Linked DNA regions of Lytechinus pictus. The protein of the gene in region 2 interacts with the protein of the main gene of each other region in a pairwise test. Links are inferred from orthologs where the notes say so. Each region holds a gene or a part of one and is shown on either strand. Other genes may lie near its edges.

Region 1 (17,066 bases), on a different chromosome or scaffold from region 2:
AAAAAAATTAGGGCACCTGTCACCTTAAATGGTTGTAAGACAAAATGTTGATGGACGGAATGGCATTAGACTAAATGAAATAGACCATCTGGTGAGTGGACAAGTTGGCAGTAGACGAATTGGAAATTTACCGAAGCATCATGGTACACCATAATTCTTGTGTTCTATTGTGGGCATGTGTGGTCCAGAAATGGACCATCCAAACTCAGATTCTCTGTGGTCCTTTGCAGGACCAACACATGCTCATAAAAGAGTTATCATGGTCCTTTCAGGTAGGACCAACACATGCCCACAAAAGAATACATAGTTTATCATAAAAACTCTGCAATGATTAATTTGTGATTCCTTATGATCTATTATTGATTAACAGGAAATATTTCATTGTGTTCTCTATTTTGAAAAGGATTGAAGCTGTTACTCCACAAGGTTCTGGTGGTCCAGTAATGAGACTAAAAAGCTTTTTAGAGGTAATACTTTCTTCTATCATCAAATGCGTAATTTATAAGGTTTCCTCCCACTATACTGTAGGTGATTGCTAGAGGCAATATGTTTTTGGTTGTCTGTCCTGCCCATTTTCTTTCTCGTGATAAGTAAAGAATCATTTGATGAATGAAGTGTTTTCATAGTGAATTATGAATATAGGAGAGATGGTGATAAGATATGATCTTATGATAACCAAATAACCATTGCCAATGTATGTATATGGTAATCACATTGATATTTCAAGACTCTGGGGGTCACAAGGTTGAGGGTCACAGAGGTAATTTTTTGATAAATTCACTATTATAAGTGTGTAATGAATTTCTGATCTGGACTGGCAGATGTATAATTTCCACTGGGTACAGTTGAAAATCCATTATGTTTTTCTTGATATGATAATTGTTATTCTTTTGAATTGCGAAAATCACAGCTTGTTTATGTATTTGTCTCTCTAAGTAAATGAGATTTGGAAGTGTATTTACATAAAAACATCATTGCCAATTTGTTTAATTTGCTTAATGATAATTATTTAAAGAGCCTCATAATTTAGAGTTTTGTGTTCATCTCAAGTTAACTGTATTACTGTATGTCTTTGGCATCTGTAGGTGGGTTGCATGAGACATTTTTTCAGGTTGTCTTAAATACATCATACTTTGTCTTAGAAACTCACTTATACAGTGATCTGTGTTTTTATTTTCTTCTCAGGATTGTCTGAAGAGACAGAGAGTGCCACCTCCCAAGGGTTTCCTCACATCAGATTTCTGGAGGTCATGACCTCTGAAGGTCGTGACCCTTCGAACCTACTCTCACGGCTAGATATTTCCTGTTCCATGACCTCTTAAGGTCGTGAACCTTCAAATCTACTCTCGCGTTTAGATCAGACTACCGGAGGTCATGCCCACTGAAAGTCAAGACCCTTCAAATCTACTCCATGGCTACAAATTTCCTATTCCATGATCACTGAAGGTCAGACCCTACAAATCTACGGAGGTCATGAAGGTTGTGACCCTTCAAATCTACTCTTGACAGCTAGGAATGTCCTTTTCCATGACTCGACACTATGTTTTCTGGGATTGAGATTTGTACTTGATAAAGCATATCTTTTGAAATAGAATTTCATAATTAAGTAAATATCCAAATAATTTTCAATGAATGTTTCGGAAGAAATTTGTTTAGTTGTTTTTTTAGGCTTATTACACACCACCCCCTTTTAATGCATTCTATTCCAGCTTCAGGTTTCTCAAAATGGATTTGCTGATGGTTGGGTTACCCATTATTTTTATGCATCCATGTCTCTGATGGGATCATAAGCGAGCCATGTGCTTTATAGTGACCCCGTTCTTTCTTAAATAGGAATATCAAGTCTTGGCCTTGTTATACAAAGGACACAATTAATTGCAAAACTGACTTGGGCTAAAAAAGATGATTGTTGTTTACACATTTTGTTTATGAGACTGACCAGTACAGTATAATTAGGTAAAAATTATTCTTTCATATTATGATTGATCACCAACTCATGTAACAATGTAATATGATAACTTGCTAACTGTGAATTAGCTTTATATCACTTTATCCAAGGATAGAGCCTCCAAATCATTCTCATGGCAAATTTGAAAATCAGGACAAATGCTGCATTTTGATATTCAGAGCTCAGTTAATAGGAAGAAATATATTTGTCCATATAATTTCTGAAGCCTATCTTTAGGTTTGGTAAATACCCCAAAATGCGACTATGAATGATTCAATTTATTACTAGATTATATGATCGTTAATGCCCTAACAGTTATGTTGTGGAGAATATGAAATGAAAATGTGTTTTATAGAATAAATTTTGTGATTTTACATGAAAATGTGCCCGATCATAGTAAATATCTGTGGTTTTTATACACCCGTCCTAGGATGGGACGTATTATGGTATCACCCTCGGTGTCCGTCCGTTAACTTTTCCTTGTAAACGCGATAACTTCAGTTTGACTTAACCTAGGCTCATATAATTTGGTGTGTATGATACTAGCATGAATCCCAGGAAGCCTCTTGATTTTGAGGTCCAAAGGTCAAGGCCACAGTTACATATTTTCATCTTACCCTTCTGCAGTCCTTGTAAACGCAATAACTTCAGTTTAACTTAACCTACATGTAGGCTCATATAATTGGCCCTTCCTGCCTTGAAAGCTTTGGCCGAAGGGGGGAGGGAGGGGGGGCTTTCCTCTAGAATTAATATTTTTACTAAGAATAATGTTGAATATATATCATGATACTTCATTGTAACTTTGGCTAGATATTTTTCAGATTAAGAGATTTATGATTTTTAAGTACAGAAGTATGATTTGTATTTATTTCAAGAATGTTTGTTTTGATATATGATTACAAAATTATATTATTTTAGAAAAGTGAGAAATCATGAATTAGAAAATCAATATTATTTTGGGGCTCAAAGAGTTGTCAGATCAAGATATGTATTGTTTTCGATTTAATTTGTAACTATTAAACAGTCACATGATTTGATTTACCTGATCTTTTGATTTACCAGAAAAACATCTATTATTTCAGAAAAAGTAACAAATTATGAATTTTAAAATTACAAATATTTCAGGGTTTATGTAATCGCTTTAGAGCAAGGAAAATTGAAGTTTTGTGTTTCAGTCTTTGCATTCAAATATACTTCATACATCAAGTATATTTACATAAACACACTCTTTGTTCAATTATATCATTTGTGATTCAATTGCTTTACAAAATCCATTGAATATCATTTTGTAAAAGTTCACATACCATTAGATACAATAATTATGAATATGTAGGGTATTTTGTAGGCAAGTTTTAGCTTTCTTATCTACCTACTTTTTGTCCCCGGTCGAGTCCACAAAGTTTTATCCCAGGATGTGTTTTATGGACAATGAGCAACATTTCTTAATATTTTGCTAGATAGGTCTTAAGAGTTTTGCTTTTGCCGTCACTTGGTTTGGTACTATTAGTAGCTCTGATATATTGAATACAAGTTCAATTTTGAACTGTACCGCTTTTCTATTTCATTTTGTCCATGATTTAAACATAACCAGTTTTGAAATGTGACTTTAGAAAAAAAAAATTTTTGCAGATGTGTAAATAAAAAAAAATCATAAATTAAAGGAGTGAAGTGAGTCAAGGCCAAGAATGTTAGAATTAATGTATTTCCCTTTAGCTAGAAACTTGTTAGCACATGACAATCAATTATATTTAATCCTATGACTATGAGCAAAGTCAATACCTTGTTTTCATGAAAGGAATACTTTTAATTAAATGAAATGTATATTACAGGATATATTTGAAGATCTTGTTATTCTAAAGTAAGGACACTGAAAGATTATATAATGTATGAAATGTGGACATCAATATAGCTACCCTAAATTTTTGTAATTTATTTTCATATGTGGAATGGGTAATATTAATAAATTTAAAGTACATGTATGGCAACAGCTTGATTTAATTATCCTTAATTTGTTTCATTCCTGGTCAATTTCTCTTAGACAAATACGATTGTTTTTCTTGATCTGCTTTCACACAAATTTTATCATTACCAACATTGAATTGCTGTTTAAGTATGTCCAATGTAAGTTACAGCAGATACAACTTCATTATGTACTGGTATATAGCCTATTTATTGCTGGGGTTAAACTAGCAGGTATGCTGTCCTAAAACATCCATACGTATTACTTCTGAAGGGATTCATAAGTTTTATCACTGGATACACATTCTTTTTTTCTTTAAAGAGCTGAAAGGGCCTCTTGCCTCAAGTTGGTTGAATATAAAGAACAATAACTCCAGCAAAAATCCATCAAATGATATCAGTTACGGAATTTAAAATGTTAGTATTGACATCACATGCAAAAAGCTCCCAAAATTGGTTTTTAAACATAATTTCCATGAAAAACAATTGTCATAGAAAAGAAGTGCATTCAGTTTCATGCTTCTATAAATTATCCAATCTTCATTATCCCTGAAGATGGCAATTTATTTGTGTCTTGTGACATCACAAAATCAAAGCTTTTAAAAGTAATAACTTTGTAATTTTTGATGGATTTTCGGTCTACCTTCATTTTTAGTGCTTTTTGTGGCTTTATTGAAACCATCTTGTCATTAAAGTGAACTTCGCCTATCAATATGACCCGAGGCAACTTAATTTCTCAAAGAATATCAAATATTGTACATGTATTGAAGGAGGGAGTACATATTTGATATTCTTCATCTTTTAGTGCCCTTGAATAATTGCCTCAAAGGCTGAATAAAGATTTTATAAAATAGTGTAATTATGAGATACATACTATGTAATGAAATATCTAATGTGAAATATTGTGTATTGAAGTAAATGTAACTTTCAACTTGCATAATGTGTATTTTCAATATGAAAAAAAATAAATAATGAAATTAACTCAAACAAGAAATGTCACTACTTTTTTTCCATTTATTTTGTGATTTCATTTTCAAGCTGTTCTTTGTACATGTAGAGGTAAATTTGCTTCCTAGTACGTCAAACTTCTATAAGTCAAATATTCGCCCAAGTCGAAGCATTTTTTTAAGAAACCATACTATGCGAATTATGCCAAGTCAAATTTCTCCAAAGTTGAACATATTTCTGTGGCCCTAAAATATTTGACAGAAGCAAAGTTACATGTACCTGTATATATTATGTACATTCAATTCATAGGTTGAAAGTATCAACATAATATTATGCGAATGATTCTTTAAAAAGTGAAAATTGTTAAGCCAGTATTTCTACTTTTTTTTCAACAGTTCTTGTAACAACTGTTTTCCTTTTAGAAATATTGCCTACAAGTAGCATAAACATGAGTTTGAAGAGACTGATTTCAGTGTCTCGACCTTTAACATATATGAGAGTATTTTTAGTTTTTGGATTCAAAATGTAAGCCAATAGTTGAGAACCAAAGTGGTCACCTTTTCTACTGGTCAGGAGGCTACCCCCCCTTGGTTTCAAAAGATTTTTAAGTTGCATTTTAATCCTGGTATTTAGGTTATTTTGTTATCTATGGCTCTATGCTGACAATGTTACATGCACTTTAATTTTGGGTTTTTTAAAGTTTGGATCTCCATGTTTTTAACTAAATTCATTTAAGGGAGAGAGAAAGGTATGTGAGGGAATGTTAATCCAATCAAGCTCACTCAACCATGACACAAGTTCTTTCTTTCTGATTAAAACTTCCATGTGGAGAGTAAAAAAAGGGCTTAAGCTTAAACAAATTCAGTGGAACTGGCCCCTAGAGTGATTCTCAGAGTATGTAAGTGTTCTTTACATCAAAGTTCAACATAACTGCCTACTCCTTGAGTTATTATGAAAGCTTGTTGAATGTCCAGTATCTGCAATCACCATCCATGAAACACTGTTTGCTCAATTTCTCTGGTTTTGAATCCACATGTTACTTGTTTGAAGAAAATTTTGCTGAAATCTTTTACACCAATTATGCTGTTCTCTGCTCTCTAGTTTCCCCCAGAGTCCTTGATGCACGATCGTTATTCATCAATCCTTCAAAAGTTTCATGCCTTGATCATTTTTTTCCTTTCTTCTTTGAATCACCTCCCCCTGATGAAGGTGCAGCTACCAAAAGCTTCTTTGGTTCTTTAGAGGCAGCCTGGGAAATGATTTCTTGCTCATTCCGAGAGCTGATTGCCTTTGTGATATTCTGCAAGGGAAAAGAGGATGTTAAATGTCAATCGTATCATTAGTAAAAAAATAACAGTAAAAGGATTATCAGTTCAGTTTAATACATTCACTTGTGAAAGAAATCCACTTGATAAAATATTAATGAAAATTTATCACCATCCCATCTCACCCTGAATCAGATGCCATCCATTCCCCTATCTCCATCAAAGAAACAATAGTTATTTTTAAATATGCTTAAATATGTATAAAACAAAATAATGGAAATACTATTCTAAATTAAAGCAATTCTGCAACCAGAAAAGTATAGTGTTTTCTTTGTTTCTAGGAGACTTGACTTGGACATAATAACCTGTATTTATTCTGCTTATATAAGGCAAACCCTACATTTAAGTCAATCAATCATGAATGATCTCAATGGTCTGTTTAATTAGATTGGTAATCTGTACATCATTGCTAAACTTCATATCATTTGAAATTAATTCTCGAGAGAGACAGACAGTTACCCAAGCATCAGTTTTAATGTAAAATTTAAAATCTGTAGAGTTTTAGACATCAACATGTGTTTGTTCTACTTCAATCTGAGTAAAATTGAATTCTTTTGTCCAATATAAAGTAACATTCTCCTTGCCTCATAAGCTTAGTCATTATCTCAGAGGACCTGCTCCGATTTTGGCCAAATCAAGCAAAGTCTGTGATTAATCACAGACTTTCAATGGTACACTGTGACTGGCAGAGCCCTAAAGCAGATCAGATATCACAGGTATGTCTATCACTTCTCAGCAAATAGTAATCAACTTTCCATGAAATCTCAAGAAAGATGACTTTTATATACAGGTCAATATCTGAATTGAAAGATATTGATTTTCCTTTTTCCATTATATTTCCTTACTGATGATCTAAAATAGTTTCTCACCTTCTTCAGTTTAGCAGCTTCTATCTGCTTTGCTTTCTTAGGAGCGATGAATCTGGCTGAAATAAAATAACAAAAACAGTGAGTTGTAAAATCTCTCTTCCCCATGACATTAGCATTTTCCCAAACATTTAGACAAAGAAATTCAGAAACATTTATAAACATTACTGCAACTTATATATTCCATTTTAGTGACTTGAATTTGAAAGTGGTATTTAATTGCCAGATATGTATTTTCTATGTGAAAAACAAAAAAAAATCAAAATCAATGATCCAATCTAATGTTTAGAGAAAAATGACAGAACAAATGTCTTGACCAATTGCTCTGTGAGAAAATTGAAACCATGTTGAGTTTTGATAAAAATGCAGAGCGATTAGCCCAATGATTTCGCATGATTCTAACCAAAGAAGACACATAACAACCATAAACTTTAAATCTGCATGCTGCAATACATAGATTGATAAAATTTAAACAAAATCAGATCATGATTAATGAATTTCAATGACAATTCACCAGGATTCACGTACAGGCCTCAATATGCAGCCTTTCTCATCGTAATCCATGAAGCCTTGAGAGTGGGTTAATGATATTGGTTGTTCTGTTGGCTCCACTCATACAGAGACCAAAGTTCTTACTCGATCTGTACAGGGACTCAATGGCCATATGTTTATGTATTAAGTTCGGATAAACCAGGGAAGTGGGAGTTGCGCGACACTCAACAGCCAAAGTAAGTCACTGTTTTTTTTCCTTTTAAGTTTATTTTTTCCTGTTTTGGTGCATTTCAGGCCAAACAGAATGATTTATTTTGGTCCAGTTCTTTTTATATATTTTTATGAGATAAAGACAAAAATCGATTAGCCCCGTCGGGGGAATTTTGCATTGTAAACCCCCTAATGGTGGCTGCATGATCATGAGCCGTCTGTGTACAAGGAAAAATAAAAATTTTTAAAAAACTCCTCGAAACAGATGGCTGCCAGCTGTACTTTAAAAAAATCTTATTCTTTGAGTACAAAATGTAAGGAAATATAGAAAAAAATAGATAACAAAATTGAATTCATATCTTAGTGTAATCCAAAGACAAAAAAGGCTTCAAAAATATAAAGTGACCCCCCCCCCCCTATACAAACTGCATTGCAGTGGCTAGTGTTGCCCTGTATGTAGTGTAGTGTATAGCGTTACTGATTTTTGCGCGAATAACGCAACGTGAGGGATGATTATCAGATTGACCCAGCACAGTGTTTCCACTCTTCCCGAAATTCGGAAAATTTTGACTTTTTCCAGGAAAGGTTCGGGAAATGAAAAAATTCCAGGAAATTTCGGGAAATTCAAAATTTACAATTAAACGTAGCAACTATTATGGGCACTAGTATTCAACCCGGCATATTTCAAAGATTTGGACAAATTCCCCCAAATATTTAGAAAAAGGGAACTATCTTAATTTCATACCTTTGTTATTTTCAGGGTAATCTGTTGTCAGTATTTTCTTAATCAATCTATGCTCGGAGGAGCGAATTATGCGGCCATGACCTTTTGCACTGAATTGCACTAGTATTCAACTTAGTGATGATAGATAGTGAATCTCAAAATGGTTTAGATTGCTAAACTAGATCTAGATCTATGTAAGTCTCTGGCTTTGACTAATTCCCTGTTTGGTCTCATCTCAAATGGTCTAGTCCATAGTCGGATGGGACAAGGGCAGATTGAGAGACAGGGCCATCTTTCATCGCTAGGTTGAATACTAGTGCCAAAAACCATCGCCGTATAATTCAATCGCCCGCGCACACAGTCGATAGTTGAAGAAAAAAAATATAAAAAAGCAAAAAGAATAACCAGCATGCTCTTGAAAATAAGACAGGTCTGAAATTATAGTAAATTCCATATTTCTATACATTTGAGGAAACTCTCCAAACGGGTTGAATACTAGTGCCCTTACGGTACGTAGCTCAAAATTTTCCGCTCTCGCAAAGTCACATTTTGTAATTTTTGTTCCTATAGGTCTAGTCTAGACCCCTTTATGGTAGGGGGTCCTAAAGCTACACACCACTCATCGCGCATGCAGTTTTTATGGCAAATGTGCACTCTGTGTGTGGAACTGTGACTGCAGAGTGACAAACGATTCTTATTCAATTTTTTCTACTGTAAATGTAAATCTCTAAATGCAGAGAAAACCAACAACTGTTTGGAATTTTGAAATTATATTCGCTTTAATTTCATTTTATCCTCTAATACTGTGAACATATTTTAGAAATACTATTTTTTTGCATGATAAATCAAGTGCGTAGCTTTAGGACCCCTTCTCTACATTTAACATTAGGCGGCGAAATCAAGAGGTGTTGGAAAACACGGCGGGATTTTCGTAGTTTGTGATATTTTCTTCTTGGTTAATGATCTTTAGAATGTTAAGTTTGCCACAAATTGGTGAAAGGTAATTTGTTCAAATACTAAAATTGGCATATCTTTTATCTTTACTACTAACAAAGTTAGTGTGAGTGGCTGAGTGCCCCCATCATACCTATTTAAGGACGTTCCACAGTTAAAGTGAAATCCATGTCATTTTCACGAAACTTTGCACATAGATACTTTAGAACCTTAATGTTCGAAATATGCAAAAATTAACATAGGTCCATGTGCTTGATTTTTTGCTATAGAAGTTCAAAGTTCACCCAAATTGATGTTCTTAAGAATTGCGCATTCAAAAGAATTTGGCATTTTTAGACCGCCCAAGATTACTACAATGAGTTTAAACCTGTATTACTCAGTCAAAATACATGAAAAAGTCATCAAATTTCGCAAGAGAGTTAATAATTGTATCATTAGAACGGAGAATATATTCATAGTGCTATTTGTTTGCAATTTTAAGTTTAACAGCACTGTCAGTTCTTAAAAATGGCGTAAAAGATAACAAAATCCCAATCTAAAAAATGTGAAATTTCAGTAACAAACTACAAAAGTACAATAAATGCTGCACTTTATTCAAAATCCATGTCATTTTCACCAAAATTTGTAGAGTTGTAGAGGAAGGTATACTTAAGAGGAACAAACATTAACGTTCATGTGCTTGTTTTTAAACTATCAGTATTTTTATTAGAGCAAATGTGCTTTTTAAAACACCAAATATGCGCCGAATGCTTTGTATCTATGTGAAAAAAAAATCAAAACCACTCTACCATTTATTCAAACTCGGGGTAATATTTGTGATTCTTGGCAGCACTGCAGAGTAAAGTATTTTGAAATTGTAGAGAATCTTTTTTTGAATGGTCCATGGAATAATTCAATTTTTTAGCTTCATGAAAAAACGCATCGGATCTGCAGTTAAAGTGCAGAAGATGAGAAAAATCAGCACATACCCGCAGCTAATTAATCACCTGTTCACCCATTGTGACGTCAGCGCGCAGAGTGTAAACTATGCGCAGATCATAATGCGCACAAACATGTTACTGTGGAACGTCCTTTAAAGAGGGCGTGAACAAAAAAATGCTGAATTCCTTGATTTGGCCACCTGGACCAAATTTAGGCTTGCTATATTATTCATTTATTGCCCGATTTTTGTTGAAATCAAACATGAAAATTCCAGGAAATATCTATGAATTTCAGGAAATTTGGTAATTGGGATTCAATTTCGGGAAATTTATTTTGGAGCTGTGCCTGTGGAAACACTGACCCAGCACAAATTCTTACGCGTCGGGCAATGCATACCGTAGATCCTCTCGAAACTAAATCTACCTACCTCCTCTCTTTGGCCCTTTCTTCTTCTGATGAGCATATTTTTGCTTATTTCGACTACCCTTTCCTGGGACTTGCACTTTTGTTTTGATCTTTCCTTGAACCATCCTGATACTGTCACTTCAATATTCTATATTTTAATCTAAAATCGGTCTGGTTTTTTTTTCGAAAACGGAGCGACGTGAGCATGGTGAGTGACGTCGAAAGGTGAAAGGGAAGGGACTCACTCGATTTACACATGATTGATAAGATTAAGGCTAAGCTAAGCCAGAGCAAGGACGTAAAAGGCAATAAAGATAATTATCAGAGGTAATTATAACTACCATACATACTGAAAAGATATAAAGATTAACATAAATAAGTCTTTCTCTCGACTAAGTACCGTATGTGACGTGAATTCATGCGAGTATGAACTTGACATTTACAACCAGCATGTGTTGCGAGCGATTTAGCTCGTGTACGATTTTAACGGATCGGTCACATAATTGTGCTTTAGACCCTTTACCTGCGTGTATAAAAAATCTTACGTACAGGTGATAGGAATAGACTAATAACTTCGGGTGAATGAATATGAATGAAGCAGTAAAACTAAAAAGGAGAGAGCATCCAACCAACTCAAACAGTTGGCCCGGCTTCTGTTGCTTTGGCCTAACTATTTTTCCTGGTAAAGCCTACAATAACAGTTAACACAAACCAAGCAAACTATTTTTTTTTTTTTTGGGGGGGGGCAAGCGCAAGGCCGCCCCCCCCAAAAAAAATTCACAACCAAACTGAGGGCGAAACTGAGTCTGAGTAGGGCAAGTGCAAGCCAAGGTCCCAAAAAATATAGAAAGAGAGAAAAGGAAAGGGAAATGGAGGTCTTCTAAACTATTATTGTCTATTCTCTGAATATTAATCAAAATCTATAAAAAAAAACTTTTTGGTCCAAATATCTGCCCCAGCAGCCCCCTACAATTTTTTTTTTGGGGGGCTCATTATAAGTGTATTACGTCACTGGATGTCATTAATGGAGAGCATGAAATTTAAAGGTTTCGATCTGAACCAAGCTTGCCAAACTTGGCACTTTCGAACCGAACACAAAGCCAAAGGCCTGGTTCGATGGTTCGGTAAAAAATAGGCCCATTTTAATTGAAAGTCCAATTTTGCCCTATGCGCGGCACCGGTAATCCCCTCACAGCTGGGTGGTCCATCACGGCACCATCACACTTACGGGCGCAGGCCGCTTGTAAATCAGAGAGGGAAAGTTGATCGAATGCAATTTAAAATGCTGATATTCGGACCCAATGCCAATGGGTAATATTAATATGAATAAATTTTACAGATCATAATCAACGAAATATCATAAAAGTTAGGTATAGATCTATCTCTTCAAATGCGTCAATTCTAATATTTTTTTCCGGAACGGTCCGGAGCTGAGGCCTGTACTGTGTAAATGTGTGAGCATGGAGCTCCCGCATCACACTCACCTTCAACTTCTTCTTCTTCCAGTCTGGAACAGTCACTGGCGTATTATCGTACCTTGTGCTTGTCAAGTGCTGAGTGTACGGTGCAGCAAAAAAAAACAGGACTGAAGCTTAACAAAGCTTGACACACTGCACCTTCAGCTTGAAAAGCTCCAATGACCAATGAGGTGCAGTTGACAGCGACAGGCGGTAATGAGTTCCACAGCCTGATAGCTTCTGGGTAAAATGATGTTTGAAGAAATCGTGTCCTTGCATAGGGAACCTGGAGTTTATGTGGATTTCCACGAGTGCGTACGTGGCGCTGCTACTTACACAAATAGGAGTATGTGGGGCACTGGAGGATACTCGACGATGCAACAATCGCCGTAGAAATGCCCCGTAGATTCGTCATTATATTTTCAAGGCGAACATGACCGAACAAATAATCTTAGCATCGAAATCAAGTTTGAAATGCTTTTTCCCCTCATTGTAATTTCTAAGACAGGAGCATACAGGAAAAGGTTTATAAAATATAAAGCAAGAAAAACAGACGAACATAAATAAATAATATCCAACTTTCTCCGTTCGTACTATGGCTGGATTGAATTAGATTTCAACGTATTTGGTGTGTGTGCAAAGGGGATCATCTCAGAAGTTCAACCTTACATCAAAGATGTATCAGGAATCCGTACGAAGAGATATGAATGTTGGAAGGCCAGCAAGTCATGTTTCGATTTTGAAAAAAAATCAGAGCTCGAAGGGAAGTTATGTGGAAGAACGTCGTTTACGGTGGTGCCTCGCAGGGACCTTAAAAAAATCACTGACCTGAAATTTTACGAGCGGGCTTATCGCGTTACGTAAGCGGGCTCTTACTTTCACCTGGCGGCTCGCAGATTGATGTTAGATATCGTTCCTTCGCCAGAAGGGAGCGATAACAAAGGATTAACAGAGGAATTGGAAGAAGGATCTCCTTCTGTGTTTTATAGCTTCATGGTAATATGATAACTTCCGTTGGGCGTAAGTCATATCGATTATTTTGTAAACAGCTTTAATTTGATTGAACATCGATGCATTGAAATTTGAAGGCGGGAAAATCAAGTCAATTTTTGTGCTCCGTCATGACCGTGCTGAGGGACGGGTTAAGCGTTGCACAAGTTTGATGTTTGATGTTTGAAAATCAATCCTGACATGATATAATTTTTTTTAGAAAAGTGCACCCATCACTCGTTCAGGAATTTGTGATGTCCGTCATTAAAAATGGAAACGAAATACAAATGTTTCACATCAAGCCCTAAATTCATATTATTAATTATCATTTGCAAATTATTGTCAAAATATTATGATTAAATAATGTTCTATGGTCATAATAAGAAATATTGTTAATGAGAACAAGATTTATTTTACGTTGGTCGCATCATGATTTTCCTTTAAGATCAATTTCGATCTTGTTTGATTAAAGCACAATGTGCATGCGCGATCGATAACGATAAATTCCATTCATGAATTCATCGTGCATGAATTATCTCAGCATTCAGAGTGAGACTCGAACTAGGATAAAAATAAGCTTCAAATTAATGGTGAATAGGCATCATAATTACACAATATGTTTCATTTTGTGGAAATATAGATCAAGTGGGTAGTAGTTATTAAGTAGCCTACTATGAAAGCATGGCAAAATCTCGTACATTGCAGCTCATTGACATTGGTTTATAACGTTAACTGCATTGTATGTAAACTGCATGCACGCTGCCCGCGCCCCAGGCCCAAGACAGATTTCATTCATAGAAATTAGTGAGTGAGCCCTGTGGCTTGTGCAAATACAGAACTTCAAGGGTGGGTATGAATGTGGAATTTTAGTGATTAAAACTTGTGCAGCATCTGAGAACTTAAAATTACTGTGAGGCTGTGAGCATGGTAATAGCCCAATATGTATGATGGGGTGACCATAATTTGCGCACATTTTAAATATTATCATGAAGTTGATTTTCAATCATTAATTTCTCACAGCTCACACAAAATTAATCAAAACCATTAATACCAAAGGGAAGGCAAGATCCCAAAGTCCAATTCGCTTGACGGAATTATAAAGTAGGTCAAGGGTTTCGCTGGTATCACGATCTCAAAATTCCATGGCGATCGACTAGTGCGCGCTCGGCTGAAAAAGTGTCATAAAAAAGTGTGACCTTAATTTGCGCACAATTGTTTTGCAAGGATTTAGAAAAGAAATCTAGCAGACAAAGGTAAGATAATTATATCAGATGGAGGTTAAAATGCCATGAATTCGGTTGGTATCACATTTTACTTATTTGGAGAGCTCTGCTTGCAAACTGGCGATTTCTTGATGCTTGTCGAGAAGATCGAATTTTCTTGGAGCGGACGCAAAAGGTGACAAAATTTGCCGATGTTTTGCCAATATTTTCACAAATAGAGACCTTACCCTCAAGAAAATTACCATACTAAGTAATTTGGAGTCGCTCTTTCTGTTGGTGATATCAGTTTTTCAAGATATTAATTAGAAATTGAGATATTTAACAGTGCGCAAAATTAGGTAACGCGCGAATTAAGGTCACACCACCATACAGAGCATAATCATGGCAAATTCTGAAGGAGATCTGTCAAATCATGACATGCAAATGTGATAATGTTTAAGCTGTATATTCATAGTAGGGGAGATGGGGTCAGTTGGAACATTTTTGACAAAAATGGCTGTAAAATCCAAATAGATTTTATTCGAGAAAACAATCAATATATCAGCTTGAAGCATATATCTAAGGGCTTCAAATGTACCCCATGAAATTTTTAACTCTATTATGGTTACCCCGGTACTGAAAAAAAAATCCACCTTGAGCAAGACCATCGCAAACGTTCCAACTTACCCCAATACGGGGTAAGTTGGAACACTGCATAGTCAATTAAGAATTATACTAAAACTTCTTAAAACTAATATTACATGGTTTTAGCCTATTTGCTTTATTTTTTTCAAGTTCAAAATACACTACTCAAAAAAAGTTAAGGACCACTTTTTAATGTGTGTATACAATTTTCAAACCGGGTGTTGTATTTCTAGAAATACCCGAATATGGCTGTCTTGAATCTCCTCAAACACCCTGTAACAATTTCACACATGGGTGGTTTCAGTTGTTGCATGATGTCTCTCGCATTATTGCATATCCTGAAAAGTGGGCCCATTGTGAAGTGGTACAAATGTGGATTCAAATGCATTTTCTGTCTTTAGTCTCTACAATCAACAAATTGCTGACAACAGCAATGCCAAGATACAGCTGTCCAGGATGCCATCAAACACAATGAAATCAATTTCACACATTCAGTTCTTTCATGTCTCTTGCATCATTGCAATGTGCCCGTAAAAAAGTGGCTTCCAAAGCATTTTCTGTCTTTAGTCTCTACAATCAACAACTTGCTGACAATAGCAATGCCAAGATACAGCTGTCCAGAATGCCATCAAACACAATGACATCAATTTCACACATGCAGTTCTTTCATGATGTCTCTGGCATCATTGCAGTGGGCCATAAGACAAGTGTCTTCCAAAGCATTTTCCGTCTTTAGTCTGTACAATCAACAACTTGCCTACAACAGCAATGCCAAGACACCACCTAAGTGAAACAGATGTAGCCAGAGCCCTAGGGATGCTGGAAGCTGGCCTCAGTCAGCGAAGAGTAGCCAGAATGATGGGCGTGTCACACAGTGTCATTAGCAGAGCAAATCAAAGACACCGAGAGACAGGGCTATACTCCGAGAGACCCCGCAGTGGCCGACCAGTTTCGACAACCCCTAGAGATGATCGCTACTTGACGAATCTCAGCCTCCGCAACCGCTTTCACAGTGCACGCCGCCTCAACAATGACTTCGCTGCAGCAACTGGAGTGATTGTTTCCACTCAAACAATCCGTAACCGACTTCACAGAGCCAATATGCATGCCAGACGGCCAGCTCAGTGTGTCCCACTCACCCCTGCTCACAGAAGAATTCGTCTCAACTGGGCCCGGGAGCATGTCAGATGGACCAGACAGCAATGGCGTAGAGTTCTGTTCACAGATGAGAGCAGATTTTCCCTTGACCACAATGATGGACGTTCGAGAGTCTGGAGGCGACCAGGAGAGAGATTTGCAGACCCCTGTATTGCAGAACATGACCGTTATGGGGGAGGCAGCGTCATGGTGTGGGGAGGCATCACCTACGCCAACCGTACTCGTCTCTACGTGGTCCCAGGGGGAGCAATGACAGGAGTGAGGTACAGGGATGAGGTCCTTGAACCTATAGTGGTGCCATTTGCAGAAAATGTGGGACAAAACATCATTTTCATGGATGACAATGCCCGTGCCCACCGAGCTAGGGTGGTGACCGAGTTCCTTGAGGGCCAGGGGATTGAGCGTATGGAGTGGCCAGCGAGGTCCCCGGACTTAAACCCAATAGAGCACGTCTGGGACATGATGGGGAGGAGTCTCGAGCAGCTCGAAGCCCATCCACTTGGACTGCAGCAGCTGGGTGTGGCTCTGGAGGCTGCATGGGATGCACTGGACGTCAGAGACATCAATCGCCTCATCAGCTCCATGAGACAGCGCTGTGAAGCCGTTATTGCTGCAGGAGGTGGTCACACTCGTTACTGAACTGCCTGAAAGACACTCAGACATTCGTTTTTACCACTTCATGTCGGTAGCTGATACCCCTCGGGGCCCACTTTTCAGGATGTGCAGTGATGCGAGAGACATTGTGCAACAACTGAAACCACCCATGCTTGAAATTGATTACAGCGTGTTTAAGGACATTTAGGACAGTTGTACTGAGGTATTTCCAGAAATAAAACACCTTGTATAAAATCTTTATGTACGT
Region 2 (17,304 bases):
ACTTAACCTTAGGTTAAGATTTTGATGTTGATTCCCCCAACATGGTCTAAGTTCATTGACCCTAAATGACCTTTGACCTTGGTCATGTGACATGAAACTCAGGCAGGATGTTCAGTAATACTTGATTAACCTTATGGCCAAGTTTCATGAACTAGGTCCATATACTTTCTAAGTTAAGCTGTCATTTCAAAAACTTAACCTCAGGTTAAGATTTGGTGTTGACGCCGCCGCCGCCGCCGCCGTCGCCGTCGGAAAAGCGGCGCCTATAGTCTCACTCTGCTATGCAGGTGAGACAAAAACTTGAGATTTAGCTTTCAAAAATGTAAAGCAAATTGCGATGCAATACCAGGAAAATTATTCCCTGATTTCATTGAGTATTCTACAGAGAATGGAGGAGAGCTACTGTGAAAGTCTTTGAGAGGATTCCTCCTGAAAACTCAGCACAGAATTTTGGTGAGGTACCTGATACCATTACTCCTCGAATTCAAATTTTATGTACAAAGTATTTACATTCATTCAATAATCTTAGGTTCGTAACAATGTAGACTCAGGGCAATTCCACAATAAAACTGTGATGCTTTTAAACAAATTTTCACATATCAACGGTGAATACATAACAAGATGTAATACTTGAGATTTAACTTTTGTAATCTATCTACGACTACCATCACAAGTAACTTTAAAAAGCACAGAATGAATAAAAATTACAATAATTAATTAGCAATGCACAATTAATTACCACTGTAACACCATGACACAAAAGGGACATACATTTTTTAATGTTTTACTTTCTGACCAAACTCTGTGAAGTTAATGAATATTTCAAAATTGGCTAAATTCCCATCAGATGTAATAAAGACTCGATAATAATAATTAAAATGAATAAGGAAAAAATATTAACATGATGATGATGGCATATAATGTATATAGCTGTACTGTAACACCGTGACTTCTGAACTGCGTGTACAAAACCTATGGATCATCTTCAGAACTCATAGTATTACTCCTCAAATGTGCTATGTATCAATCATAATTATGTTCTGCATCAGTGTGTGTGTGAGACACTTGAAGTAGAAACAAGGTAAAATAAAGATGGTTTAATTACAAATAATTCAAATATTTTACCTTCTAGTCTTTGTCTCTTGATTTCTTCCTCAGTCGGCAAGTCGTCTACTTTACGTTTATCATTCGCTGAAGAAAAAAATTATTTGACAATGAAAGGGATAATAACCATATGAATTTTCTACTATGGCAACAAGTATTTGTACTTTGATTGTATGTATTTTCATATCAATTCAACTCAATAATGGAACAAATCAGCCGACAAATCAACAATTCATTTCATAACGAAAAGGCTTATAACCATAATTTATCAATTTTCAAGTATGGCTACAAATAGTTTGATTGTATGGTTTAATTATCATAGCAACTCAACTCAATAACATAAGAAATCGGTACACAGTACAAAATATCACAACCACACGGTAAGGCTAAAATATTCACATTAAGATATTTATGCAGCTTTGGACTGATGCTGAAATAAGTAAGGAAGTGATTTCATGATTTGCTATTGTTTTTCTTACTATACATAGACAAACACTCATTTGTTAACTATCATGAGGTTTTGACTCACAAATAAAACCACCACAAAATAAGCTCCCCAGTGGTATGCTTCACAATATAATAATACAACCGAATTAAGTCAATATTATGCTTGTTTATTTGCTATTCATAAAACTTAGGTATTGATTATAGGGGTAATATTATGCTATCATACACAATGGGTGATTTCAAATTTGGTGTTGACCTTTTGGTGTTGGTATTAGATTATTTTCACACGAGTATAACACCAAAAATAAAAGATGATCCTGTCAAGTTACTCACTAGGTGTTGAGCTACCCGTTTTTGTGATCTGGATATTTGTGTAATCTCAGAATAGGCATTGGAGCTAGAAAAGACAATTCAAAAATGTGCTTTCAACACCAACACCGGATTTGAAATTACCCAATCATAGAAATCAAAACCAAATAATAATTCACTTGAAGTGATCATTTCACTTTGTTCTGATTTAAAAAATTCTCATTTTGGTTCTTGAAAATGGGCTAAACATTAGGCTTATAGTGTAAAAATACCATCTCAAAAGTTTCAAAGTATTATATCTACAGGATCAATTTAAAACATTGGAGATGTAAACCAAAGTTTCAAAATAATTGGGAGTTGGTTTCAATGACTATGTGTATAGAGCGAATCTGTGCAACACAACACATTAACTCTAGATGAACACAGCATGACCTACATACAGTGTGTACAAGGTATACACTAAATGTACAGTGCAGCTAATAGCGTGTGTATAGGAGATACACACAGCAGAAGGCAGTCAACATAGCCAACAGACTTTTTGAATTGGAGAAAACTGGTCATAAGCTGAGCCTGTCTACTAGACGGTTCTCAAAATCAAGCTAATAAATTGCTACTTGTATCTAAATTACAGTTTTTCATCCTATATTGAAGTCTGTTTCAGGGTTTTTGAGGACAAATACAGGCACTCATACACATGTTTCGTCTCAGTTTGAGAATTTTTTAAATCAGCTGCTCACAAAGTCAAACGATCCCTTTAAGTTTATGTTACAGGGCCCAGATCTTATTCGTGAATTTTAAAAGAAAAAAAATTATTCCACTTTTTGATTCCTACCTTGAGTAGCAGCTAGAGCACTTAACCTTGCCGCTCTCCTTACGTTAACCAACCCTGGACTGAGGTTAAAGGACGTATGACCATCTGACATAGAGGGCGCACAAGTAGTGGTTGTTGTCACAGTGATACGACCAAGTGCTTGGGCAGAGGGATCAGAAGAATCTTCAAGTTCAGTGGTGCCCTCCGGTGAGGCAAGGGGTACAGCTCCTTGGACAGGGGTAAACTCTGGGTCCCAGATGGGTGAATTACTGTCATATGCTTCTTCTTCTAACATTGACAGGAATCTACACAAACAACAATAAATTAACAAACCACTAGTCAGATCTAAAAGGACGCACTCTAGATGATCATCTTCTTGATTTTTAACAGATAATATACAGTAGATTAAAACAATTGCAACAAAACTTATCAAACTAGTAGAATAATAGGTTGGAAAATCCACAAACAACAGCAGTAGTCAGTGGAAAGGCAAAGAGCTTTAACAAACTGATATGAAAATTACATATTTAATTAACATAATTGAAAAGCTGTGTGTAAGGATTCAAGTTGAGAAGTTCACCCACAATTGACTTGCATTCGCTTTCAAAGTAATTGAGGCCACTGCTCCATTATATAGATGAAGACAGAAATCTAGAAATTGCATAAAACAAGAACTCATGAAACAAACAGCAATAATCCTACCTTGGAAAGTGGGTGAGGACCAGGTTACGTTTCTCAGCAGGCATGTTGTCCTTCTCAGAACGTAACATATCTAAGACCTGCCGCCTCATCGCAGGGAAGACAGTCTTGAGAAGCGTTCGACCAAAGATATCCGTTGGTTCATGATGCTGTAGGCTATCACAGAATGATGGCACATGACAGTAGCACAGCCACCTACAGAAGAAAAATGGGTCAGATATCATGGAAGCAGATGATGGCACAATTAAGTATGACCAACACTTTGGCTGCATATACCAACATTTCCCGGTTAGAAACAAGTTTTCAAAAACTTTAAAAAACAAGTTTTTATAAAGAAATGTGTTTACCATCTCATTTCATTGCACCATTTGACCCTAAGGATGGTCCTCTGTTTATACTAGTGGCTGTGTACTTAGACGAAAACGGGTAGTGGAAATGGGAGGTGGAAAAGGGCGGTACAAATGCCTTTCCAATACCTTTATTTTATCTTCCATGAAGAAACGTGTTGCTGGTACTTGTTTGGGATTGCACACAATTTTTTTCTTGTTTTATTGTTCTTTGGGACTGATGTTGCCATCATAAAATGATGAATAGTGACCCATGACTGTCACATAAGAAAACCATAATTAAATAAATAGTACAAGGTTTTACATCAAGCTAATCAAATATGAATTATTCTTAACCCTCAATCTCCCGGGGTATTTTGATTCTTGTCATTCCCGGGGGGGGGGCCCATTATGGCCCCCCCTTAAGATCTCAGCCGTGGATTGCGCGATCACAATGAAAATTTGCATGATGGTAGAGAATGACGTAATCTGCGCCGTTGCATTGGTAAATTTCACTAAATTCATATATTTTTATTTTATATGAATTAATTATGCTAATTTATTCATGAAATCATACTTTTTGCTCTGATTCACTAAATAAAGCTCCTAGAATGCTATTTTTTGGGCGAAAATATTTTTTATAGCATTCCTAACAATTGTGAATGAAAAAAATTCTGGTACCAAGACCGATTTCTTATGTATTTTATTGTTTTTTTAATTTCTTATGTATTTCTTTGTTTTTTTACTTTTTGTTTTTTTATTGTTTTTTCGATGGAAATTGTTCCAGACTTAATTCTGATCATAAACAAGGCAAAATTAATTAAGTTTAATCAGTAAAAGTAGAAATAATGATACATTTATGAATTTTGGCCAAATACACAATTTGCATTGGATTTGTACATGAAATCACATTTATGAGCAATTTTGGGTCTGACATGCACTTACATAATGTTGCGTAATGTCGTAACCGCGTACCCGGGCGTCACAAATTTGGTCTCAAAATTTGCACGAGACTTGAAAGTAAAAAGTCAGTGAGCGGCGAGGTCAAAAATTTTTGCGCAGCATATATATCGCGAAAATTGTCGAGGGGGGGGGGCCATTATGCCCCCCCCCCCCCGGGAGAATTAGGGTTAAATCTGTCCATGTTTGGAGCTAAAGGGAATGTGTTGGAAGGGAGTGAATTCTACAGCCGAGCCGTCCTTGGTATATATGATGATTGATGAAGAGAAGTGTTTGACTTTGGGACAGTGACTATGTGGGGGGGGGGGGGAGCTGTAGTAGAGCGTGTCAAACAGACATTGGGGGCCAAGGGGGGAAGCATTCCAGACAACTCAAGGGAAGGTTTCAGGAAGAAGTGACGGTGGGAGGTACAGAGAAATGCAACACTATTTCCTCTGGTGCTGAAGAGGTTAAAGCCCAATCTTGGAAGGGTTTTCAATTCTCAGGAGGCAGAGTGATTTCCACAGTAACCTATCACGAAGTGCGAGTACACTGATGCCTGCTCCAGCCCGAATTGAGGGATTTGAAAAAGGCTATTGAATCCAAACACTGTACTGACCTTGTGTAGGTAACCTTGTAAGCACCCGCTTCATCTAGCTGGGCTCTTTGCTTCCTAGCGGTGGGTGTCTCAAGCTTCCAATGGTTCATACAGTGAAGGAACATCTTAGCAAGGTCATACATCGTCATCCAATCCTTGTGGACCAGGTGACCAAACTTGTAGTGGACAAAATTGGACACCCCCTGTAAGAAGAAGAGTACAAGAGGGAGGAACATTTAAGGTGAAGGGAAGAAAGACATGGAGGTGAGAAAAAGGGTGAAGGAAATACATTGATCGATAAACCACATAACTGATTCATGCCTCATTCATAGCTCAATTCATATCTTCCTGTAACATTTAATTGAACATCAAGTTATCAACCTACATGAAGGAGGCCTACAAGTTAGCGTACAGATAGAAAATGTTGCGCAAGGGGACAAGGTACATATAAAAGACAAGAGGCAACTATTGATAGTAAATTTAAAAACTTCAGTTATTACTACCAATAAGACATTCATGCAGTATACTATAAAATCAAATGAGTAATCTCTGGAGCTTACTTTTGCAATGCTTGGTTTCTCAAAAGGAGGTCGACCTAAAGGACCTTCTACCGATGGTGAGTTCATCTGCAGGATACATTTCCTCAGGAGCTGTACAAGGAATACATCAAAAAAAATTATGAGTCAAATATGTTTCACATTTTTAGACATGAAATTCTTTATTAAGCTTAACATCATGAAAAGAGCATAAGAAAGGGTAGATTTGTTTTTGCGCAAATATTCACTTTTTTAAAGCTAAAACAACAATAACATATTTGAAAAATGAGATGACATTTTCACATTTTAATTCAACTGCCCAGAGCTGAAATCCCGCCCTTGCCAATCTTCTGCATCAAGTATAACATCAAGTCAAGCGATAAAATTGAAACCCTTCAAGCTTCCATGTTCCGTAGTTGCTCAACAGATAGTGGTGCTGATTTTTTTTTTACCCGATTGCTAAGAAAGCATGTATGCTTGTAAGCAAGTAAGCAGAGGACTGACAGCTTAAGGTCCTCTCCGAGGGACCTGGTAATGAGGATAAATGCCTTACCATAGGGCACTAGCGCACCAAGTGGGAATCAAACCCGAGTGACCAGGATCCAAGCAACCCCCCCCCCACCTCCCCGCTCTACCGACTGACCGATCGCACCTCCTCATTAACCCTAATTCTCCCGGGGGGGGGGGGGCCATAATGGCCCCCCCCTCGACAATTTTCGCGATATATCTGCTGCGCAAAATTGTTTAACCTCGCCGCTCACTGACTTTTTACTTTCAAGTCTCGCGCAAATTTTGAGACCAAATTTGTGACGCCCGGGTACGCGGTTACGACATTACGCAACATTATGTAAGTGCATGTCAGACCCAAAATTGCTCATAAACGTGATTGCATGTACAAATCCAATGCAAATTGTGTATTTGGCCAGACTTCATAAATGTATCATTATTTCTACTTTTAACGATTAAACTTAATTAATTTTGCCTTGTTTATGATCAGAATTAAGTCTGGAGTGATTTCCATCGAAAAAACAACAAAAAGTAAAAAAACAAAGAAATACATAAGAAATATAAAAAAAAATAAAATACATAAGAAATTGGTCTTGGTAACAGAATTTTTTTCATTCACAATTGTTAGGAATGCTATAAAGAATATTTTCACCAAAAAATAGCATTCTAGGAGCTTTATTTAGTGAATCAGAGCAAAAAGTATGATTTCATGAATAAATTAGCATAATTAATTCATATAAAATAAAAATATATGAATTCAGTGAAATTTACCAATGCAACTGCGTAGATTACGTCATTCTCTACCATCATGCAAATTTTCATTGTGATCGCAAAATCAACGGCTGAGATCTTAAGGGGGGGCCATTATGGCCCCCCCCCCCCCCCCCCCCCCCCCGGAATGACAAGAATCAAAATACCCCGGGAGATTGAGGGTTAAGTTTTCATTCAACACTAACACATTTCTGAATACAGAAGGATGTAGTGAACTATACCTTGAACAAATGAAAGTAGACCTGCTTTGTATCGGCATCTTCTTCCTTGTGGACAGACATGAACAGGTGTTCGACATCGACTACGATGCCCAGGAGCCTGTCAATCTCCTCCTCAGCGACATCCTCTAGATGGGATACATGTTCAGCTGGAAGAAATTTGTTCACACATTGTTATTATCCGCGCCTCATAAATGCTATATATTATTATTATTATCATTATTATTATTATTATTATTGGTCATTTTGCCTCCGACGAAGATTCTGCTAGGATCGAAAGCTTAGGCCCCTTTTTGACTTTATATTATTATTATTATCATCATTATCATAAGATTGACCAATATCATAAATGGCTATTTTCTTTATCATGCATTGATATGTACAGATGTGTATATCCCCTAAGCCCTGAAAAAAAAAACATGTTAGAGCCAACCAATGTCTGTGATAAGGGACTTTTAATAGCAGAAAAGCAGTTTGAGTGGCACCCAAGCAATCATCTTGTTGCCTTTGGTTAATGCAAGGCCTGGGAGTATGGAAGATTCAGTATACTTATGTTTGGGCTATGGAACATTTAAAACAATTTAAAGGACACAATGGAGCACTGAACATAAAGTACTAATGTCTTGGTGCCCTGTAGCAATTCAGTTCATGTGTCCCACAGAAAAGTAAATTTTACTATTAATGCCTTTCTTTAATGACCTTGGATGCCTCTAAAGTGACCACTACCTTTCCTTTCCTTTCAGTGTCATAATGGCCTTGCCCCTATGAATCTTAATTCAAGCCCTATTCCTCTATTATTGTTAAAACTTAATGAATCAAGTGTACAGATGGGAGCATACATACCAAGTTGATGGCCACAGCTCTTGCATGGGTCTGATCTACTAGCCAATGGGGTTGTTATATCCAGTCTAGCTGGTTGTGTCGGTGTAGGAGGTGGATTAGGATTCTTCCAACCATTGCACTTGCATGCTTCGTCTGCCTGCAAACAACAAAAGACAACAAAATAGGCCTACTGGTTACCTTCTTCTATCATGCACAATCACAAGTCTGGTGTGGCCTATCACAAAATGATCAAAAGTAGATGCATGCGAGAGCCACCAAATTACGCAGCACTGCACAGGATATACAACGGGAAAGTTACAATTGGTATTTTCTCTTTTTTGGTCATTTTGAAGATACACTCTTTAATTTGCAAGACAATTGGCAAACTTGGAACATAACCACAGATTTCTTTGTTTCTTGCGCAGTTTTTGGCGATCCCGTTTCATAAGTCTGGGCTGAGCTACGCAAGGCTTTAGAAATATGGCGCAGATGCAGATTCTGCCTTTTTACTACAAAATTGGGCTTTCAGAGGGGATTTTGGAGTTGAATTTAAAATTAAAATCAGAATTTCCTGGCACGCTATAAACTGGCTGTGGAGATAGTGCATGTGTGTAACAAAAGTTGTTGGGGCCATTTGTGTGCCGTGGACCATGGTGACGGAATGTGCGCTGTGCTGATTTGTGAAAACAAGATTGGCAGTCAAATCCTGGTGCATGTCAAATCAGTAGAGGTGCTGGTCCAAAAATTGAGATTGTCCCAGAAAACAAGGATATCCTCATAAACCAAGACAAATGTCTTGATGCATGTAAATAGCAATTGTCCTTGTTTATGGGGATATTTTTTTTCACTTACCCCTGCGGGACATACATGCAGACAGCAAATAGGGGATTGAGAGTGCTAAAAATAGATTTGGTGACCTCAATTCCCCCAAGTTGACCGTCTATTTTGCACGACTTGCCATCTTCCAATAATCTTGTTATGAAAAATGATATGTTAAGATTGACTAGCACACTTGATTGGTGTCGGCATTTGACAAGCGAATGACTTTCCAAGATTTCTTGTGTGGAGAAATTTTTGAAAACTGAGACAGTACCTGTAAACTGTGATGATCCCAAATTTCTGACCAGTGCCTGTACTGCAAATTAAGGGTGCATTTAATAGTAATACTACTAGTCTAATGTTAGCTGATAAACAAGCTTTTTGAAAATCCTTCCTCTCCTCGTCTGATTTCTGGCTCTGTCCTGTGCCTGCTTTATTTTAATATTTTTCTTGGCCTAACGTTAAGAAGAGACTCTAGGCCTAGAGATCTATCGACTAGATCATGAGATCTATATCTTGTCTTGTCTTTTTGTTAATGCCAACAATCATTATATTAATAATGGCATATGAATGTCTAGAAATAACCATCGTTTCTGGGGGTTTATTTAACAATTTCAGATATTTTACTACAATCCCCATTCACCGACAGTAGTACGTTAGTGCGAGCCCGTATGTGTAATCATTTCTCCCAATTCAGGCATATAGTGTTTTGTCTAGATTTTTTTCTTTTTTTAGGTCTATATGACTTTATATTATCTTAAACGACGGTCCACATTTTCGTTTGATTCTTATCTTTCTTTTTATAAGTACTACGAACTATGAAATAAAAGATCGAAAATCTATGTGACCGACTGACCGATGATTTATTCCTTATTTTATCAAATATTTTGCCGGAGAGGAAAACTGGCAGATGTATATTGCTGCCTTCTACGTTCGTTGATTAAAGCTTTTGTTTTATCAAGGCTTTCTGATTAGAATTTTCGATATGCGAGCAACAAGTTCCGAGAAACGCAGCGGCACGAATCACGATATACAGCGACTTCGACTGGTAAAAACATCATTCAAGATGGCAATTTACGATGACCGTCAAAAGGATCGAGGGTGACTAAGTTTTCATCATCATTTGAAGGGAATTAGCAGTAACTGCGGTCCAAAGTGTGAAATTTGAAATTTCTTAATTTTATATATTTCCTTGTCAAGTTGGATGTAGATTCCAATTTCTTTTTTGTAAATGAGATATTTTTTAACAAAAACTGTACATTGGTTTTGTACAGGTGTAGTAAATTTGCCATGTACCTGTACTTACCCTATATGTATTAGTATGTGTATAAGTCTATGTATTGATCTATGTTCATGTACATTAAGTCTGTGTATGTGCTGTGTGTATGCGAGGAGCGCTCCTGATTGGAGGAGCCTTTATATGCTCCTACGCCTGCTACGTGTGTGCGTTGCACAGCACGTACACAAGTTGGTGCCTGGTTGGGAGAGGAGAGATTGGATCCAGACACCAGAGAGAGAAGACCCAGAGACGCCATCGAGTGAGGACATCCCAGTAGCTCCCCACTCGGCGCCATGGTCTGCAACCTAGCTATATAGAAGTCAATGTTACCTGAGTTAGTTATCTACCGTGTGGAATCCTTAGTACAAGTGTCAGGTGAGTATTAGTTGTTGTCCGTGTCTTGTACCGTCGGTAATTAACCCATTCGTGAGTTTCGTGAGTCGTAACCCTTGTCAGTGTTGTACTTGTAAGTTTAACCACTCGCCATCGTTTATCGTAACGTATCGTATCTCGTGCCATCACATCATCTGTAACCCACAACTTTCATTTTTACAACATTGGCGATTGCGAGTTTTCGGATCGTTCTGTGCGCCTGTCATTTACATTTTCATCATTTCATGTCCGTTCATACTTCATATTTGCTCATGAAAGTCATTTGTGAGTGATTTTGAAGTGTATAACGAACGGAGAGTGAGTGGGAAGTTTTCCGCTCTCTACCGAGAATTGGAAATTTGCGTGCCGTGATTGCGTGGATTCGCATGCATCTCGCACACATCTTGTTTTAGTTCTACCATTTTTTCGTACATGATATCATTTCTTGTTTGTTACAAGTGGATTTTGATATATATTTGCCATATCTAGGGAATTATTTCATATCCACTACGTTGCATTTTCATTGCAACGCACGTGGTATTCTCTGTGCACACGGTGCACACGCCCTACATTGTTTAGTTGCACTTGCATTTCTCATCGCATTCTTCGCGAGTCTCTTCTATTGTTTGGCTCGCGATCAAGAATTTCGTTCCTTGCATATTTTTGCGTCGCTTACCATCTCGTTGCTTTTGTTTGTAAATTCTTTGAAATCTGCTACTAGGCGAGGATATTTTTAGTCCGCCATTGTCTTTATAAGCTTTCTTTCAAATTCGGAACATTCACACCACACCACTTCCAAAAAAAAGTCGGGTGTGAGTATTTGGTGGATTTATTGGATTGGAAAAGTTAATTTGAACTTGAAATTTTCTCTCGATCCTCAGTAATTATTCCAGATGGTATAAGTTTCCTAGAATTTCATACTCTTGCATATCGGGCAGTGCACCAATATTTTGAGGGCGTAGAGTTGTTCATACATTTCTATAAAATTTCCAGTATATATTTTCTATCGACATTTGGCAAGTGTTTTTTACAGCCAGTTCTGTACACATTGAGTGGCAGAAAGAGTGATAGAAGTTCTAATACTCCTGGTTGCCGAGTTGAGTAATAGTCTGAATTTACTTCAAATTTTTACCCAGCTCGAAATTACACTTGTGTCGGTGGTACGTTAGAGGTGGGTTTTTCTGAATTTCAGATCTTACCTGTTACTAGAAAATAGGTGGGTTTTCTGAGCTTCGGATCTTACCTAGCTGTAACTTGAAAATATACTCTTGAATTTTGTTCTTAATCAATACACATCTTGTGAATTTTCTTTAAAGCATTTCATTCATCACATTTGATATTGTGATTGTTTCTCTTTAATAACTGTGATTGTCATTGTCTTAAATTCAATCTAAAAGTTATTGTTACTCATTGTTGCTAATTGTTCACCCACTCGGTAGAATTGTGTGTGAATATATAGACATCTATAAACTATTCCAGTGTCAGACCCGTTGGGACTGGAAAAAATAGACGTCTGAATTATTTGTGTGAATAGACTTCTGTATAATAATTCCAGTGTCAGACCCGTTGGGACTGGAAAAAATATAGACGTCTGAAATATTTGTGTGAATATACTTCTGTCAATACCAGTGTCAGACCCGTTGGGACTGTGAAAGAGAAGTCTGAATATTTTTATCTTCCCTATCAAATAATTGGTAGTTTGGGCTGGTTGGGTGTAGGCTCCATAATTTTTTTGAAATTGTGTAGTTTTGCAGAGAAACCGGTAGGCTATTAATTTCTTGATAACTTGGATATATTATTCTCTATGTTCTTCATGTTACATGTTTATATGTCGTTTTGATTCGAACTAAAATTGAATCAACACTATTGATTAATCTATGTGCTGATGGTGATTTCCATTGCTTTAGAGATTAAACTATTTGGAAGTCAAGAAGTAATAGATTGTTTTTGACAAAAAATTGACAATCTTCCCTCGATCCCTCGATCGCCTAGCTCACTCGGCGAAACACTGCCGAGCCGAATCACGTGACTCTATTTCATTGATTCTGCTAGCGACTCTCGTTGACAGAACACTGAACAGTCGATCAGAGTTAGAATTTGGGAAACTCTGATTTTATACGATTATCGTGATTGACCGTTGATTTATTCTAATGATTAGTTCTAAGTAGGAACTCGTAGAAATTGATTTTGTAATTTGATCATTCTTTTTGTAGTTAATTTTAGGTCTAACGTCGCGCGGTTTTCAACCAACACCAGCGCAACGCACCTCTCTGTCTGGCCCGTAACTCCAGGCAGGGATAACGTGCACGAACCGGCTATCGTCGCCGTGAAGGCAAATTTTGAACGAGTTTCCTTTTCGTCAGATTTTACTGACAATTTGCTGGATTTACCTGCCAATTGTCTCTTGACTCAATATTTACGCAAACTGAGCTAAATTCATTGATTTTATACTGCCATATTTCGTGTTATACTGTTAGTAGATCTTGTTAAATTTATCTTCCCAAGCTTAGCTTTGTCTGGTGTACCGGGTACCGTACATCGAGTTTAATACTAGACTACCTGTGACCGTTTGTGCAGTAGCACTTTGCAGTTTTGTATCTTTGAGATACAGTCAGTTCGACTGTCTTACTGGAAACTTAAAAGAATTTATTTAATTAATCTTCTGAGCTTACCTTCAGATTTAACGTTAACAATATTAGGTTAAAGTTAACGTTAGTCTTTTTGGATCTTTAATTTTCTTAGTGGATTAGTAAATAAGCACTGTTGTCCTGATTACTAAAAGTCTTGGAAGTTCAATTAATTTCTAACCCTAAAATACTAAAATTAGTCCAGGTTAGAAAAATCCTATTGTCTTAATTTGATATCAAATTCCATTATTACTTGGGATTTTTAGGAATCTTTGCAGCCGAAAATCTTGTTAAAACTTTAATCTCTCGGGTGTTTGTAATTTCCTGACCGTGTATACCTGGAGCCAACAAGTGCAATAGTTTGCTTTGCCTTTTGACTCGGTGTACAGCTGGTTTGAACGAGGACTTGGAATTTAATTTCAGGCCCTTAGTTCTTTGTAGGAAATTTTTCTTGGAGGTTATCCTGGATTGTCTTTCTGTCTGTTTGAAATTCAGGTTTTCTTAGTAGATTACTTTTTAACAAGCATTGTTAGATCAGGAATTTTTCTTTGGAATAATTCTTGCTTGTAAATTTAATTCCTATATGAGAGATTTAATTTCTATATTTTTAAAAGAAAGATTGTTCTCAAGTAAAGGTCAAAAAGTTCTGAATAAATTTTAATAAGGTTCTTGAAAATACTTATTTTAATTCAATCAACTCTTGATTCTGATTTTAAGTGAAAAGTACAGATACTATTGATCTTTGATATCAGAATAATTGATATCAACATTCTTTGAAATTATTTTTTTCATATAGTTGCTTTTGTATTTTTGGAACATCATTCTTGCGCTGAAAATTTGCAAATTTCTATTCAGGCTCTAGAATCCCATTCATCAGTGAAGTACAAAATTCACTGCTGTCATTTTGCGCAAGTTGATTTCTAAATAGTAGTCTCATCATTTTTTAGTTGGTAACTTATCCCCATTCTAAAAAAAAAGAAGAAAAAAAAAGAGGAAAGAAAATTGGATGTGGGATAAATGTGTGTTTGACATTTATATATTGCATTCATCAGAAATAAACATTTATATATTGCATTTATATATTGCATTCATCAGAAATAAACAATTATTATTGAATGCTACTCCTGTAAATCGTTGAGGCTTCGATAAGTTGAATCCTTGTTAGGTTCTTTTAATAGTCGTAGAGTAAGTAAAACTTATTGACACTTCTGCGATTACTCAGAGTAGTAGAAGTTTGATATTCTATTCTACAAGTGTAGTTTCTGAAACTTGAAGCTGCACTGTACTTTGTAAATATACTTTCACTGAATACATCCATTGCTACAGGAGTGTGTACATTTATTATTAATATTCAGAGTCAGACGCTTGTTCTTAGCAGTACAAGTATTGCAGTACTTCACTCTTTCCTTGGCAGTAAGTGTGTTCAGTGACACAAGTATAAACAAACCTAGTTAAGTTCTTTCACTGATCTGCAAGCTTTATTCTGCTAAGTTTAATACACTGTAGATCATTGAATAAATGAAAGTATCATTTAAAATATGTTTAAGAATATGCCTTTGAATCACCAAGGTGATCATCAATAATACTTTCCTGAATTTATCTGGAATTCATAATGATGCAAAGTGAAATCGCCAGAGCAAGACAAGGATTAGTTGAAGACATTATAGACAGTCGTAATACTAGTAGGGGATACTTATATGAGTATTCACTGGCAAATAATCTGTACAAGCTTGGTTATCCAAGAAATTTTGTAGATGAATTTGTTTATGAGAGGTTTGATTGTTCAAGGATACATTATTTATCTGATCTCGATTTAACAGATCTTGTATATAAATGTGCTGATAAATGCCAATATAAATATGCTGAACCCAATACTGGTAGAAAGCCTCAGGCTGATAATTTGAGTACTGATGCATCTTATCATTCTAGGACTGATCATCATGAAGATTGTTCAAGGAATTTTGGTCATATTTCATATGGTTCTTCCAAGGTTGATCAGGATAGATATCATTCACAATATACTGATCACTCTAGATATGCTCCTGGTACTCCCTATAGTAGTGAGGATTCCAAACATTTACATTCATCTTATACTCAATGTGAACCCAGATCAAACAGCAGGGTTCAGAGTACAAATAAACATGATTCTTATCCACAATCTTCCTGTCATACTTCTAATGATCATTCCAAAGATGATGCTTATATAGCAATGATGATGCACTGTATGGCTGTTCAAATGAAATCATTGTCAGAAGAACTGAAATCATCTCGGCATTCATCTACTCTAGATTCAAGGCTTCCGTCCTTAGATCGAGGTTGCGATGCCCTGAGATCTTATTCTCGTGGGTGTACTGGTCCGCGAGTGTCCTCGTTGCCCAAGTACGTGACCTTCGATGGTAGAGGATGTTGGCACACTTTTATACGTAATTTCCAGCTTTATTCGGAAGATCGAGGTTGGGGTCAAGCCCAACAGCTCAATGAACTTTGCTTTTGTCTTGAGGGAAGCGCAATCAAATATTTTGCATCAATTATTGTTTCTTCCAAGCTAAACATTCCCTATACAGATGTTATCAAGAAGCTTGAGCAAAGATTTGCTTCCAAAGAATTTCCTGTCGCACAATTGCAATTTGATTTTGCGCAGCAGGCAACAACCGAAACAAAGGGGGAATGGGCCGACCGTGTCCTATCCTACGCTTCACGCGTCTTTGACGGATTGCCTGAGGAGATTTTTGAGAGGCAAATAGTGCAAAAGTTTTGTCAGGGTTTATTAGACCATGAAGCGGGAAAATACGCTATCAAATCACGTCCTCGGAATCTCGATGATGCCATTTACTTAGTTCGGTGGTTTCAGCATCGGCTAACGTATGCAAGACAAAGGTCTTACGATACTGTCGAGGAGGATCCCAGAGTTAACCGTATGGGTGTTTCCGGGCATGCCTCTAATGCTCAGCAGTCCTCCGGTCAGAACAGTCTGGAGGACCGAGTGCCCAATCTGGAGAAGAAGGTTGATATTCAATCTGCTCCAGGGGCACAGATGAAGTCCTTCCAGTCCTCAGTCCAGGGATCGGTAACTGCTGTCCCAGAGCTGAATAGGCATACAGATTCTCCTTCGACAGAAGACACTGAATCCAAGTTGTCTTGTCGTGATGTTTGTTTTGCATGTAACAAATCTGGACACTTCAAGAGGAACTGTCCAGAACGTTTAACAATAGATGTAGATACTTGTGTTTCTGATAATGTCATTAGTGTAGATGCTGTAACTGTAAATACCACATGTATAGATGATGTAACTGTAGATATTTCATGTGTAAGTGATGTTACAGTTAATACCTTAGATGTAGATAATGTAAGTTTTGTAACTGTGTCAGAGGACAGTCGAGCCTCTACTGAGGATGCCAAGCATGGGCAGAGTTATCTTGTGCAAATGCTTTGGGGAAGTACCCCTCCTAAGCTGTCCATCCTTGATTTCCTCAGTTCTCTCCTCTGGTGGAACCAGAGGTATGTATGTAGTTTCAGTAACGGCCAATTCCTTTTATCTTGTCCGTGGCTCCTTCCTCCCTGGCCACCACCCCAATAATGGAGTACTATCTCCTTGATCAGTTGCTGAAAGTCCTGCAATTGAAATTTCTGTTGTTATACATTGTAATTCCTTTAATAGTCACTGAAGGTGAAGGCACACCTCTTATTTTCAATAGCTTTTACCTCTTCAGGTGACATATGAATTAATAGGTGCAAACACTGTTTATGCAATAGCTCTTTTATACTACATAAGATATATAGATATTTCAACCATAGATCCTTTACCTTGTTTGCAAAGGCTTTATAAACAACCCTGGAAATATTGTCATACAGGATGTTGAAATAGTAGTAGTTTTTTCTCAAGAGAAAATACTATGTATGTATGTCAAGTCCAGGTTGTTATATCTATTTGCACCAGATCTGGTTGAATTACCCTTACATTACATATGTTTTTAAGAGCTCAAACATATTACCAATCATATATCATATTTGTAAAGGTCACATTGTACAGGCCTATATTAATTGGTAATAGAGCTCCAGCCAAATTGGCTTTATTCCATTGTCATTATTTTAATAGTACAATATACAACTTAATATAAAG

Evidence for each region.
Region 1: the proteins of histone acetyltransferase KAT2B-like (region 2) and transcriptional adapter 2-alpha-like interact in a two-hybrid assay, tested with the Drosophila melanogaster proteins (2 studies listed by BioGRID). The link is inferred for Lytechinus pictus from reciprocal best matches to the Drosophila melanogaster genes Gcn5 and Ada2a.

The regions. Positions count from the first base shown.
Region 1 is NC_087246.1:15,002,261-15,019,326, reverse strand, and holds the start of transcriptional adapter 2-alpha-like, read left to right. Parts: upstream 1-10,937; 5' UTR 10,938-11,079; exon of another isoform or gene 11,080-11,600; intron 11,601-17,066. Other genes in the region: mRNA export factor GLE1-like, read left to right, coding at 404-467, 1,186-1,254; leydig cell tumor 10 kDa protein homolog, read right to left, coding at 6,021-6,155, 7,050-7,105, 10,775-10,877. UniProt on the Drosophila melanogaster protein: Component of the histone acetyltransferase (HAT) complex ATAC; predominantly involved in acetylation of histone H4, including at Lys-6 (H4K5ac) and Lys-13 (H4K12ac).
Region 2 is NC_087257.1:2,579,576-2,596,879, reverse strand, and holds the start of histone acetyltransferase KAT2B-like, read right to left. Parts: upstream 8,846-17,304; 5' UTR 8,109-8,845; intron 7,415-8,108; 5' UTR 7,329-7,414; coding exon 7,269-7,328; intron 5,884-7,268; coding exon 5,794-5,883; intron 5,437-5,793; coding exon 5,255-5,436; intron 3,566-5,254; coding exon 3,374-3,565; intron 2,977-3,373; coding exon 2,693-2,976; intron 1,192-2,692; coding exon 1,126-1,191; intron 1-1,125.